Nothobranchius furzeri: one gene and its partner. The protein of the gene in region 1 interacts with the protein of each later gene in a biochemical or structural test. Links are inferred from orthologs where the notes say so. Each region holds a gene or a part of one and is shown in the gene's direction. Other genes may lie near its edges.

The links.
Region 2: the proteins of jund (region 1) and atf3 form a complex in vitro, tested with the Homo sapiens proteins (2 studies listed by BioGRID and IntAct, with this or other methods). The link is inferred for Nothobranchius furzeri from reciprocal best matches to the Homo sapiens genes JUND and ATF3.

Annotation. Positions count from the first base shown.
Region 1 is NC_091748.1:65,725,588-65,731,155, reverse strand, and holds jund (transcription factor JunD), read left to right. Parts: upstream 1-2,943; 5' UTR 2,944-3,161; coding exon 3,162-3,983; 3' UTR 3,984-4,201; downstream 4,202-5,568. UniProt on the Homo sapiens protein: Transcription factor binding AP-1 sites.
Region 2 is NC_091742.1:15,051,757-15,058,205, reverse strand, and holds atf3 (cyclic AMP-dependent transcription factor ATF-3), read left to right. Parts: upstream 1-1,998; 5' UTR 1,999-2,102; intron 2,103-2,783; 5' UTR 2,784-2,784; coding exon 2,785-3,030; intron 3,031-3,118; coding exon 3,119-3,226; intron 3,227-3,310; coding exon 3,311-3,610; 3' UTR 3,611-4,287; downstream 4,288-6,449.

The DNA of each region.
Region 1 (5,568 bases):
GATTAGACACTTATTTTTTGCCCTCCACTTTTTCGTTCCTCGACACTTTTTACAGGCATCGAATGGAAAAACGGGAATAAAAGCAACCAAATATAAAAGAAAAACATTAGAAAAGCTTTTGAAATCCTGATAAACTGTTGCTCAAAAACACAACCAGCAACATTTGTCTAGTTTTATTACTTTTAAAAGCACCTGTTAATAGAGTCATTTTGGTCATGATGAAGGCTTCGTGTTGGTTAATCCTGGTTAATCATTAGTTTGTCAAATTGAATTATATGGATGAAAAATTAATCGCAGAAATGATGTCTTACTTCTAACCTCTGTCTGTTGTACATAAAGGAAATACAAAGAGACTGGGTGTTGAATGTGACAAAGATAGCTGCATGTTTTTTCCCAGCTACCGCCTGCAGGCTCAGCACCCCACTCTCCACACTGATGTACAGCTTTTAGACATAAATGTCTCTTCTGTTGGTTACCCCACCCCCAGACACACATTACCACCTCCATCTCTGCCCGTGTTAAGAGATGTGACATCACAGGGTCTACCATGTGATCCGCCCGCACACAGCTTTGCAGATGGATGGGGCCTACCTGTGACGCATAAACCTCCTCTCTGTAACCCTCCGCAGGCTGGAGAAGAAGTGAAGGCAACTGCATTGTTCTGGAACAATTGCTGTACTGGTTTATTCAGTAGCTGCTTTGTGAATATGAGTGTGGTCAAGGTAGGGAAATGTTTAACGTTTAATCTTTGTACAAAGCTTATGTGGTGCAGGATTAGAGAGCAAACTCTCTGTTACTGAAAGCAGCCATGGTGTTTATGAAGGTGTAAGGCAGCGAGAGATGTGACTGGAAATGCTTGAGATGAAACGCACAAGCGTCATGAATAGAAACAGTTAAATCTGAAAACAGAACAAGGCCAAAAACCAAAACCTGCTGACTGACCAGAGGAAAGGTTGAAACCAAACCAAGTTTCAGACACAACTTCCCCAAACGCTGAAGTCCAGAAACACTGGAGGCTGAAAGGAGAAGTGATCTATCTTATCTGGGTCAGCTTTGACCACACAGAGGTGTTATATTTTCTGTTGCTCAGTTCCAACACCAGCTTCTCTTGTGCAAATATTAATTAAATCTTTAAGTTCTGACTATAAAACATGGGCTTCAAAGCTAAACAGTCTATAATTTTATTTGCATTAGTTTTCTGTGCAACGCGACATCACACAAGTTCATTTCGTTGACCAGTTGTATTTAAATGTTCTTTTTTTTGTTGTTGTTTCAGTTTCTGACAATGAAAACATGTTTTAAACTTTCCAGATTTTATAAGTAAAAAAAAAAAACTCATCATGGCATCAAATATCATTGTAACTCCTCAGTGTTTGTCTTTATTTCTCTTCTCCTTGGCAACAGAAATATAGCCAAAGATCTTCTATAATAAAAAAGAACAACTCTGCAGGAAGTAAAAAATCGTTCTTGACCTTGGAAACACTCTAGCTCTGGGTTGCATAGTAGCTCATCATAAACAAAAACAACTAAAGTTAAAGTCACATGTTAGGACTGAGAGAGGGAAGGACATGCGTGTAAATACAGTGTTGTGTGTTTTGGGTAAACCCCAAAGGACCACTCGTGGTTGAGGCTTCTTTTCAAAGAAAAACAATCCAGTAAAAAGGAAAAGCCCAGGGACTTTGTAAATAGTGTGGTAGACACTTAGACCATTTGTCTTATGTTTTCTTTCATTTTGACTTATTGCAAAAAGCTGAGCTTAATCCTTTAAAAAGGGCATTTTTTATGTTATTTTATTTTAATTTGCTGAACTATGTCTGGAACTGTCGGTAAAAATGAAAAATAAATAAATTGAGAAATGTTAATATATTTATTATAACTTTTCTCAAACATTAACTAAACAGAAATGCAGAGAAAAGCTGGTTTAGTTTGTGTTTTATTGTTGATGGTGTAGAATAGCCTGTCTAAATTCAGTTTGACAAATAGAAGGTTTAAGTTTGCATGTTAATGTAGGCCTAATTATAATGTTCATATTTACTATTATGACTGTTTTCATGCTGCACCTTCTGCACTGTAACTGCTCACCTTTTAAAGAGCAAGTCACCCCCAAATCAACTTTTTTTTGCTGATAAACTACATAAATGCGTGTCTAATTGTGCTGCAGACACGTGTAGTCAATAATTTGGCACTTCAGTGCATCTTAGTTAAAATTTAAATATTCTGCCTAAAACTGTCAGTGTTGTGCCGTCGTCAGGTAAAAACTCTGCACTGCATTTGAATTTAAATCTGCCACTGCTATTGGCTAAGAGGTATGCTATGATGTAAACTGGTCCTTATGATGTCACAATGTCGTTGTGAGCCTGCGTGTGTGTGTATTGGTTTGCGGCTCCGCTCTCTCGGTCTGCAAGGCAACAGCATTTGTTGCATTTTTCAAACATGAAGAGGGAGTTGAGTAAGAATCTGACAGGGGTTGACTTGCTCTTTAACTTTTTCTTTTTTTAAATCTGAAACGAATTTGTGTATTTAAATGGTGCTGTCACGTTGATTTTAATGTTAATTCTAGTCTTGCCAATGGAAACCCCACTGAATTGCCTCTGTGTGTGAAATGTGCTACAAAAATAAAGCTGCCTTTTCTGGCTATACAATAATGGATGTTTTTACTTTTCAAAAGTTTTAAAACGTCTTTTTTATTTCGATGACATACAGTATCACACCGTTTTAGAAATACTGAAGTTGTAGCCAATGCCAACTGTTATAATAATAAAAAGCAAAACTAATCCAGACAAAATAAATCCATAAACAGTCAGATAACTGTAATTTATTGTTCGGGTACCGACAAAACGCGCCGAGTGAGACATCCTGTCAGTTGCCTCCTCTTTGTTCAGCTTGTTTCTTTTACGGAGGACGTAATTTCTGCCCAATGTGCGCGCTCTGACGTGCCACAAAGGGACGTAAGAGTCTAGAAAGGCTCGAGGCGGTGCGCACGAGCAAGTCCTCAGTTTCGTAGAAGCAGCAAGGCGGTGTCACCTGAGCGCAGTGAAGATTAAACCTGAAATATAACAACAGATATTTCCCGCCGCAGGTCTTTTCTCTGGGGTTATGGGTAGGACGCCGCTCTGAGGTAGCGTCGAACCGGCAGCCTTTTCCTTTCTCAAACGGAAATAATGATGAAGAAGGACATCAGCTTGAGCCTGGCGGACGACGCTGACCTCAAACCGCACCTTCGTGACGCCGAGAACATCCTTAACTCCCCGGACCTGGGGCTGCTCAAGCTCGCCTCCCCGGAGCTGGAGAGGCTAATAATCCAGTCCAATGGGATGGTCACCACGACGCCGACCAGCTCCCAGTTCATCTACCCGAAAACGGTGACGGACGAGCAGGAGTTCGCCGAGGGCTTCGTGAAGGCGCTGGAAGACCTACACAAGCAGAACCAGCTGAACGGAACCGGGCAGACCAACAACACTCTGGACCTTGGTGTTAACATCGCCCCGGTTACCATACAGCCGGAACTACCTGTTTACACGAATCTGAACAGTTACGGGAGTGGGCCACTGGGAACCACGGTCAACTACTCCACGGACACGGTTCCGTTCCCGCCGCCTCCGTCGCATCACTTGGGGGCAGCCCCGCTGCAGCAGGAGCTCTCTCGGGTTCAGCCGCTGAAGGAGGAGCCTCAGACCGTCCCTGACGTGCAGAGCTTCGGGGAAAGCCCGCCGCTGTCCCCCGTCGACATGGACTCACAGGAGCGCATCAAAGCCGAGAGGAAGAGGCTCCGAAACCGGATTGCAGCCTCCAAGTGTCGGAGGCGCAAACTGGAGCGGATCTCCAGGCTAGAGGACAAGGTGAAAACGCTGAAAACCCAGAACACCGACCTGGCCTCCACGGCCAGCCTGCTGAGGGAGCAAGTGGCCCAGCTGAAACAGAAAGTTCTCACGCACGTCAACAGCGGCTGCCAGCTGCTGCCACATGAAGTCCAAGTACACTAGTGGGACGGACAGACCTCCTGTTGGGCTACAGACCAGCATATAAGCACCATGGACGTTCTAGATGCTGGTTTCTTCTACATGTAGCCCGGATATGTGTGCCAAACCGGCTGCCATCACTAATCGGCTGCTTTAAAATGTTATTTGGGATTGTTAACATGTAAACATGCGTGGTAGAACATGAGATAGCGGTCATATTAAAGGGACTTTGACAATGATATCGGCCAATGTAAACGAAAATATCTTTATTTATTATGCAGCTGCCTGATGACAGCGGATCACTAGATTATAATCTTTTGTCATGTCTTAATAATTAGTTTATTGGACATTGGCTGAAATGAAGAACAGATGCCTTCAGTTGATTGAAATCATGTTCTACCTCGTGTGTGTGTGTGTGTGTGTGTGTGTGTGTGTGTGTGTGTGTGTGTGTGTGTGTGTGTGTGTGTGTGTGTGTGTGTGTGTGTGTGTGTGTGTGTGTGTGTGTGTGTGTGTGTGTGTGTGTGTGTGTGTGTGTGTGTGTGTGTGTGTGAGGGATAATCATTTATCCTATTTTGTATTTCTGTAGACAGATTTGCATGTTTTTGACTAACTCGAATGTTGCCCTCAAGCTTGGGCACCAAGTGGCGCCATATATTCAGTGTTTATTATACTCAGACTTTGTGTATGTCTTTCTTTTATTTTTATTATTTTTACCAAATTGTCATTACTTCGTTGTGTTTTAAATGTGAAGAATATTTCTGTTGCACAGACTGTTGCTGTTACTTTGTAGCCTTCAGTTATTTGACTTCATGCCTTTGTGTTTGAATTAAACGCTGCTCAGCAATCCAAATGTTTCCTCTAATTGTTACCAATGAATTCAAAACATATCCTGTAACCATAATTGTTATGGTTGATTTCATTAAAGGAAGTCTCAATGAAACAGAAACCACATATGACATCATCAGTTACTCATAAAACTGGATAGATGTTAGTTTTTCTGACTCATTTTCATAGAGCTGATGAAGGTTTCTCCTTCCGTGGAGCCAAAATTTTTGGAAATCCATGTTGTGTAATAATCCCGACCACGTGACTGGGTGTAGCAGTCTGCGTGTCATGATTGGTGTCTTGCCCCCTCTGCTGGTTATTTTAGGAATTACAGAAGCAACAGCAAGGGGGGGGGGTTAAATCTGATTAAATTGAGTTTTGAAGAACATAATGTTATTGATTATAGCACATGAAACAGATTTAAGAAGGTTTTTCTTGGTCTTTCTCAAAATACTGTTTTTCTTCTGTCTGCTCCCAGGAAGGGATTAAAAAACCAATTTCTCATTCTGACACAAACACAAAATCCGTTTTACTTTGACCTAAAGTGCCAGTAGAAGAAGAAGAAAGTATCATTTCTATAGCGCCTCTCAAGATAAAAATCACGAGGCGCTTCACAAAAACAAAAAGAAATGTAAAAATATAAAAAAGCATTTAGAAAATGTTTAAAATATATATTTAAAATGAGCAAAAATGGACAATTGTGATTAAAAATGTTAAGAAAGAGAGAGAGTCAATAGGAAAGAGGGAAATCAGTGGATCCTGAGGAAGATGGAATAGTTGGGGA
Region 2 (6,449 bases), on another chromosome or scaffold:
TTTTGCTTTCTGAAGCGTCTGTAGGAACGTCTCTTGGCTGATCGGGAACGTGACGATCTAATTCCAGGTGCTTCGGGTGAAGGTGCAGCTTCAGCTGAAACCTCTAAGGTTCTGATCGTCTGAAACACCTTTGGATGAGTTTTCCTGCAGCCTGAGGCTGTTTTGGTCTGTTTCTGTAGCAGCGGCCGACGTTTGCACCTATCTCTGACCTTTAAACACAATAAGACTCCAGATCAGCAGCTTTATGGGACCTGCTGGACCTCGGAGCCGGAACGTTGTTCGTCTGATTATTCACACATTTATCGTGTTTACAGCTGGGTGTTTTTGCACCATGAAAGCCTTGTTTTGTGTCCCAGCTCAGAATTCCTTGGAACCTGTGGAGGGTGTTTGGATGAGGAGGATCCATGCTGATCAGGTTTCATGTCGGGTTTCCTGTTGCAGAATTCCAAACACCCTAAAGAAATCTTTTCTAGAGAAGCTGTCAGAAAGTGAAAGTTATTCTTTTTGAATTATTTACCAGCAGCTGAAACTGGAAGTTTCTTTATTACTGGGAAAGTTTCAGCAGGAAGGGAGGGAGGGGCGATTGAGGAGCTGGCGAGAAGTGATGAAACGGGTCACAGAAAAGTTTCACTTTGATGTATTTGTAATATATAATGTTATATTATTATTATTATATTGTTATTACAATATAATAAACACAAGACAATTACTAAAATAATAAAACAATGTTGATCACATGACTGACGTCCAGTCCCTAGAGCAGCAGCCCTCTACAACTGGGCCGAGGCTCGGTACCGGTCCATTAAATATTTTTAAAAATTCCAGAAATATTAGTTTATATGCAGTTGTCCACAGGAGCTTTTATTTTGAAAATTAGCAGTATTAAGCCTCCAAATATCCCAGATTTTAATTCCGTTTAATTTTATTTTTCGTAGTTATTTTTGAGATCCTTATAAATCTTTTACAGGAAATGTTCTCTTAAAATAACCAAAATAAATGGTCTGTAAATAAGGTTAAGAGATCCAGAGATAAACATTTAGAAGTTTTTTCCAAATATAAACATATTTTGTACAATCAGACCAGATCTGTGAGGTTTTTCAGGAAGTGATCCGACTTAAATCCCTTTAATCCTGCCGGTAAAACAACGCAACCTGTGGTCTAACGGAGCAATTTTCCCTGTAAGGCAATGGGTTTCCATGTTATTTGCCTGCTGCTTAATGGTTTTATTAAAGGTTTCAATGAAAAAAGCATTTCAACCAGGATCAAACATTTAAAGTTTCAAAATAAAAGCACAAACAGCATCATGGCCATTATTCCCTGAATCATTTCGAACTTCACTGTTTTCAGGTGACCTCTGACCTTTGGAATCTCTCAACGGGCGACTAAACAGGATCAGATTAGTTAGAATTAAGCTACAAAAACACACACACACACACACACACACACACACACACACACACACACACACACAGCTGAGACACACAAAAAAACTTATCTATAAGCTGATCCTTCTTCCTCCCACCATTAGCTTCTCCAGGCCCTGATGGAGGTGTAACCTCAATAAATAAAACCCATCCGGTGTCATTCAGCCAGAGCGAATCACTTCACGTCCTAATGTGGAATGTTGGGATTGGGAAACTGTGTCTGTGTCAGATCAGTGAGAGCACTCGGGAAGACACGGCGCTCAGAACTTTTAATCATCTGTGATTTCTGCTGCTTTCTAGGAACTTACTCAGAGGAAGTGTGTGTGTGTGGGGGGGGGTGGGGGGTGGGGGGGGGGGTGTTTGGTCTAAAGGAAGGATGGAGAGATGAACTGAAGGAGAGGAAGAGGAGGAGGGGTTGTGTTGTAGCAGATCAGCCCGTGGTTGCCTGGTTGCATCATCACACAATCACATTTATAAATAGAATTACGTCATCCAGCTCAGAGCTGCTCCTCTTGGCTCCTCCCGCCACGTCACAGGCCCCGCCCCCAGCCCGGATCATAAAAGCCGGTGATGCAACCGATTCGGGTCAAACGCAACTCAGAGCAGCGGCGACGAGCGAGGCTCCTGCAGGCGTTCACTTCCTCAACCCGTCCGGACCGTCCGATCCAGAACCAACAGGTAGGCGGGGGGTTCCGGAGGGAGGGGGTGTTTCGGGGGAACGGGGATGTCCCGGTGAGGAGCGGAGCGCTTCCCGGTGGGCTGAATGAAACCATCAGGATTTGATTTATTTAAGAAATAAACGGAAGTTTTTATTGATTCAACTTATTAGATTTGAACTTTGACCGAACTTGTTTGAACTTTTAAAGTTGATTCAAACAGTTTATAGTAAACAAAACGCATAAAATGACTTTAAGATGTTATAATGCAGATTAACTGTAAACGTGAGCCGTTTTCTTATGAAGATGAAATAATTCCTTGATGTAATGGTTCAGATTTAAGTGTTGAGAAAAACACAAAAGAGTCGAACTTAATAAATAAATAGAGCTGCACGTGCAGCTTTCACGATGTTGCTCCTGCTGAGATTCAAACCTGATCATAAATCCTTCTGCTGTGTTTGGGTCAACGGTAACTCCTGCTTTATTCTATTAAGTTCAGGGCTCCTCTAGGTTAGATGTTTGGCTGTCAGCAGAGCTGTTCAGGAACAGCTGATCTTCTCATTAGTTGAGTTTGTTCCTGAGGAGTTACTCAGCCGAAAGAGAGCAGGAGCTGCTCCTTCAGCAGCTTTAGGAGCTTCTTGGATTATTTGATGTGAAACTTGTTGCATATTTGATTTAGTCATTGTTTTTTATTTTTAATTAGAATGATGCTGCAGCATCCTGGTCCTTCTCTGGCCGACATCAGCTGCTCTGCTCTGGTGCCCTGCCTGTCCCCACCGGGGACGCTCACCCTGGACGACTTCACTAATTTCACACCCATCGTGAAGGAGGAGCTGCGCCTGGCCATCCAGACCAAGCGTCTGTCCAACGGGCTGAGCGCCGACGTCAGCTCAGACGGCTCCAGCTCGGACCGGGCCTACGAGCGGCCCTCCGCCAGGCTCAAGAGAGAGGTGAGACGGAGCGAACTCTGAGGTTACCTGGTCTGTTTGTCAGACGGGGATCAGGAGAAGTAACGGCGTCTGTCTCTTTGGCTTTTAGTTGACTCATGACGAACACGAGAGGAGGAAGAGGAGGAGAGAAAGAAACAAGATTGCTGCAGCAAAGTGTCGCAACAAGAAGAAAGAGAAGACGGAAGGTCTGCAGAAGGTAAGAGACTTTTGTTCCCTTTCACTCTGAAACCCAGCTCATGAAGAACAACATTAACTCCTCCATTGTCCCTGTCCTCCTCAGGAGTCGGAGAAGCTGGAGAGTGTCAACGCGGATCTTAAAGCTCAGATCGAGGAGCTGAAGCAGCAGAAGCAGCAGCTGGTCTACATGCTGAACCTGCACCGGCCCACCTGCATCGTCCGGGCCCAGAACGGCCAAACGCCCGAAGACGAGAGGAAGCTTTTCATCCAGCACATCCAGGAGAGCACCTTACAGCTCCACAGCCTCACCTCCTCCTCCTCCACCTCCTCCTCGTTATCTACCGCCACAGTAGCACCTCTGGACGGAGGCGTCCTGACGCTTGACGACATCCAGTGTCTATGATGGTGATGCTGTGAGACTTTCTCCACCTGCGCCAAGAACGAGGAGACGTGGATCAGCTGCTGGAAGCAGCGTACAAAGCCACGTCTCCGTCCTTCACCTCCCAGCTGCTGGGACGTCCTGGACAGAGGACAGACGCCGACGCACTGAAACCAAACAAAAACCCAAACTTCACTGATGTTTTCAATAGTTAGTGGTTTGATTTTTGTCCCGGGGTGATTTTAAGGTGACTGATGCACACAAACCGTTCTGTGGAAAGAAGAGTAGCTGCAGGCCGGTTGAGTTTAACCTGCTGTAGAAAACCTATTTATTAAGGTAGGATGTGATGTTAGCGACCCTCTGAAGCTGCTGCTGCTAACCCCTCAGGACACAGACGTAGATGTTTAACTAACGGGAGTGTTTCTAGTAATAACGGGAATGATTCCGTGCTGCAGCCATGGCTGCAGCCTGTAAACATGACAGGATAATCGTATATGCAGATGATGAACTTCTGTTCTGTTCTCCTGCAGGACTGATTGTATTATTAATCCATCATTTTATATCTGTGTTGAAAAGAAGCTAAAGTGTTATTTCTACTTAATTCTGTTCCCTTTTTGAGCTTCTCAGACCAAAACCGCAATTATTAGTTAAATAAGCATATTTATTAAACATCACATTAAATGTCTCTGCTGAGTCTGTGATCCTGCGCCGTCTCATTTGTCCTTTTGGGGGTTTGGATGGGATTTGTTGTGTTTAGCAGGTTTCTGCTGATGAGGATGGTTTATGTTGTCTGTAGTTTGTGATTTTAGCCAAAGGCCACTTTGTTAAAGAGACGCAGGCGTCTGGTCGTGGTGTGTGTGTCGTTTAGCATCCTGATGCTCGTTAGACACCTCATTTGTGCTTTATTGTGCCTGATTTTGTCACTGAAAGTTGTTTTTGTAGCTGCTCCCAGCCTAAATGAATAAAATGTCAAATATCAGGAACAACTGCACTGCTGCTGCGCACTTCCTGTTGTCACCTGTTGAGCTTTGTTTTTGATACTTTTGATAATTAAAACATGTATTGTCAGTCACACTGTATGGTTTGACTTTTTCTCTTAAAATGGAATGCAGCCAGTACAGAATTCATTAAAAAAGTAAAATAGCACAAAAGGCTAGTTTTAATCTGCATGTGAAACCTGGCGTAGCACCAACAACCTTTCTGTGGTTTTGTTTGTGATGGAAACAAAAGGTCACACTGAAGGAAACGTTTAGTCTAAGTCTCTAAAACGAGTGATCAGCTGTGGCTGCTGCTGTACAAGTGCAGCTGAGAAGTTGCATCATCCCGCATAAATGATGAGACACATTCCTGATAAATGAGTCGGCTTGTTTCTCTCCTGAGGGAAAAGTTTTATGACACAGAGAAACAGAAACAACTCTGGACACGTCGGAGGTTTAACTGAACTTGGATCCACCTGCTCTCACGAAACAACATCTCCATAAAGCTCTTTCCCCTGGTCCATCACAAAACATCCCACTTGTGCTGACACTCCCTAATTTGCACAGCTGTCTGTAGGATTAAGGCCCCGCCCACTCCACCACAGGACTAACAGAGGGTGGAGGACGGCATGTCCCCACTTGAAATGTAGAATCTGATTACATTTGTCTCCACCTGTTGTGGAACGAACAGAAACGTTGAAGTTTCTTCATGTTTCTGTAAACCTGACAGCCTGCAGCCTGTTGTCTCTGAGGTTAGTAGAGGTCATGACCAATGATCAGCTCCATCCTGCAGCTTCTATTCATCCTGATGACTCAGAATTATTATTTCCATAGTTCTAGATTGAGTTGTAATCTGGGAGATCTGCTTTTTACGTATTATTGTGGAAGCCGGCTGCTGGCAAAACTTTATTTTTCGAACACAATTTTGTCACATTTAGCGTGTTAGCTACACGTTTTTACATAAAATTCTTTTTTACACTAATAATGAAAATATCCACACTGAAATATCATGATACATTTCTGTTGTGATACTGAATCAATATTTAAAGGCACAATAAATAAGAACTTTACAGATAAATCATCACAAAACGATCATCTTAGAAGGAAGGTAGTACTGAAACTGATTTACTTCTTAGGTCTTCACTTTTTCTTACAAAATAGACGAAGAGGGACATAATCTGTGTTTACAGTCTGTTAGCGTAGTGTGTTTGCTGAGTCAGCGCTGCAGCGCCAACACTTGTAATTCAACACCGACTGGCAAAACGTAGCAGTGTTTTGTAAAGCTCCAAAGTCAGTAAAAAGGAGCGACCCAGAAGTTAAATCTTGCTCTCCTAGGAAGCCGCAGCATCTTTTTCTAATTTATGCATTATTGGGTGATGCATGCTATGGAGCTCCGGGAGTTGACGTTACTTCTCCCGGCATGCAACAGTTCAAATCGAATGGCGCCATCTTGGCGGGCAGCTGCCCGCAGTTAGGCTGATGTTATTTGCAGAAAACCCAAACTAGAAATGGGAAATATGGTAGATACCTGTTGTGCCCAAGGATGCCATGACAGATGCAGACGAGATAAGGGAAGAGCCGAAATCCCCAAGATGTGGAACACAGCAAACATTGGACCATCGCAATAAACACGCTAGTGACCAGGCTAAAACGAAACTGTGGGATCCCGGGTGCAACCACTTCATATCAGGTAGTTAAACCAACGTTTTAAATGCTTTTATTACGATTCTTAGTGGGCTCCCTAAACTTATTTTGACGTGACTTTTTCTGTCTTGTTGCTCATAGCAATAAGTAAATATCACGCAAAACTTTGCCTAATCATTTGTGATTTCTGCGTGCTGCTGTTTACGTAACCCATTTGTATCCCTCCTGGCTTTTGTACGTCC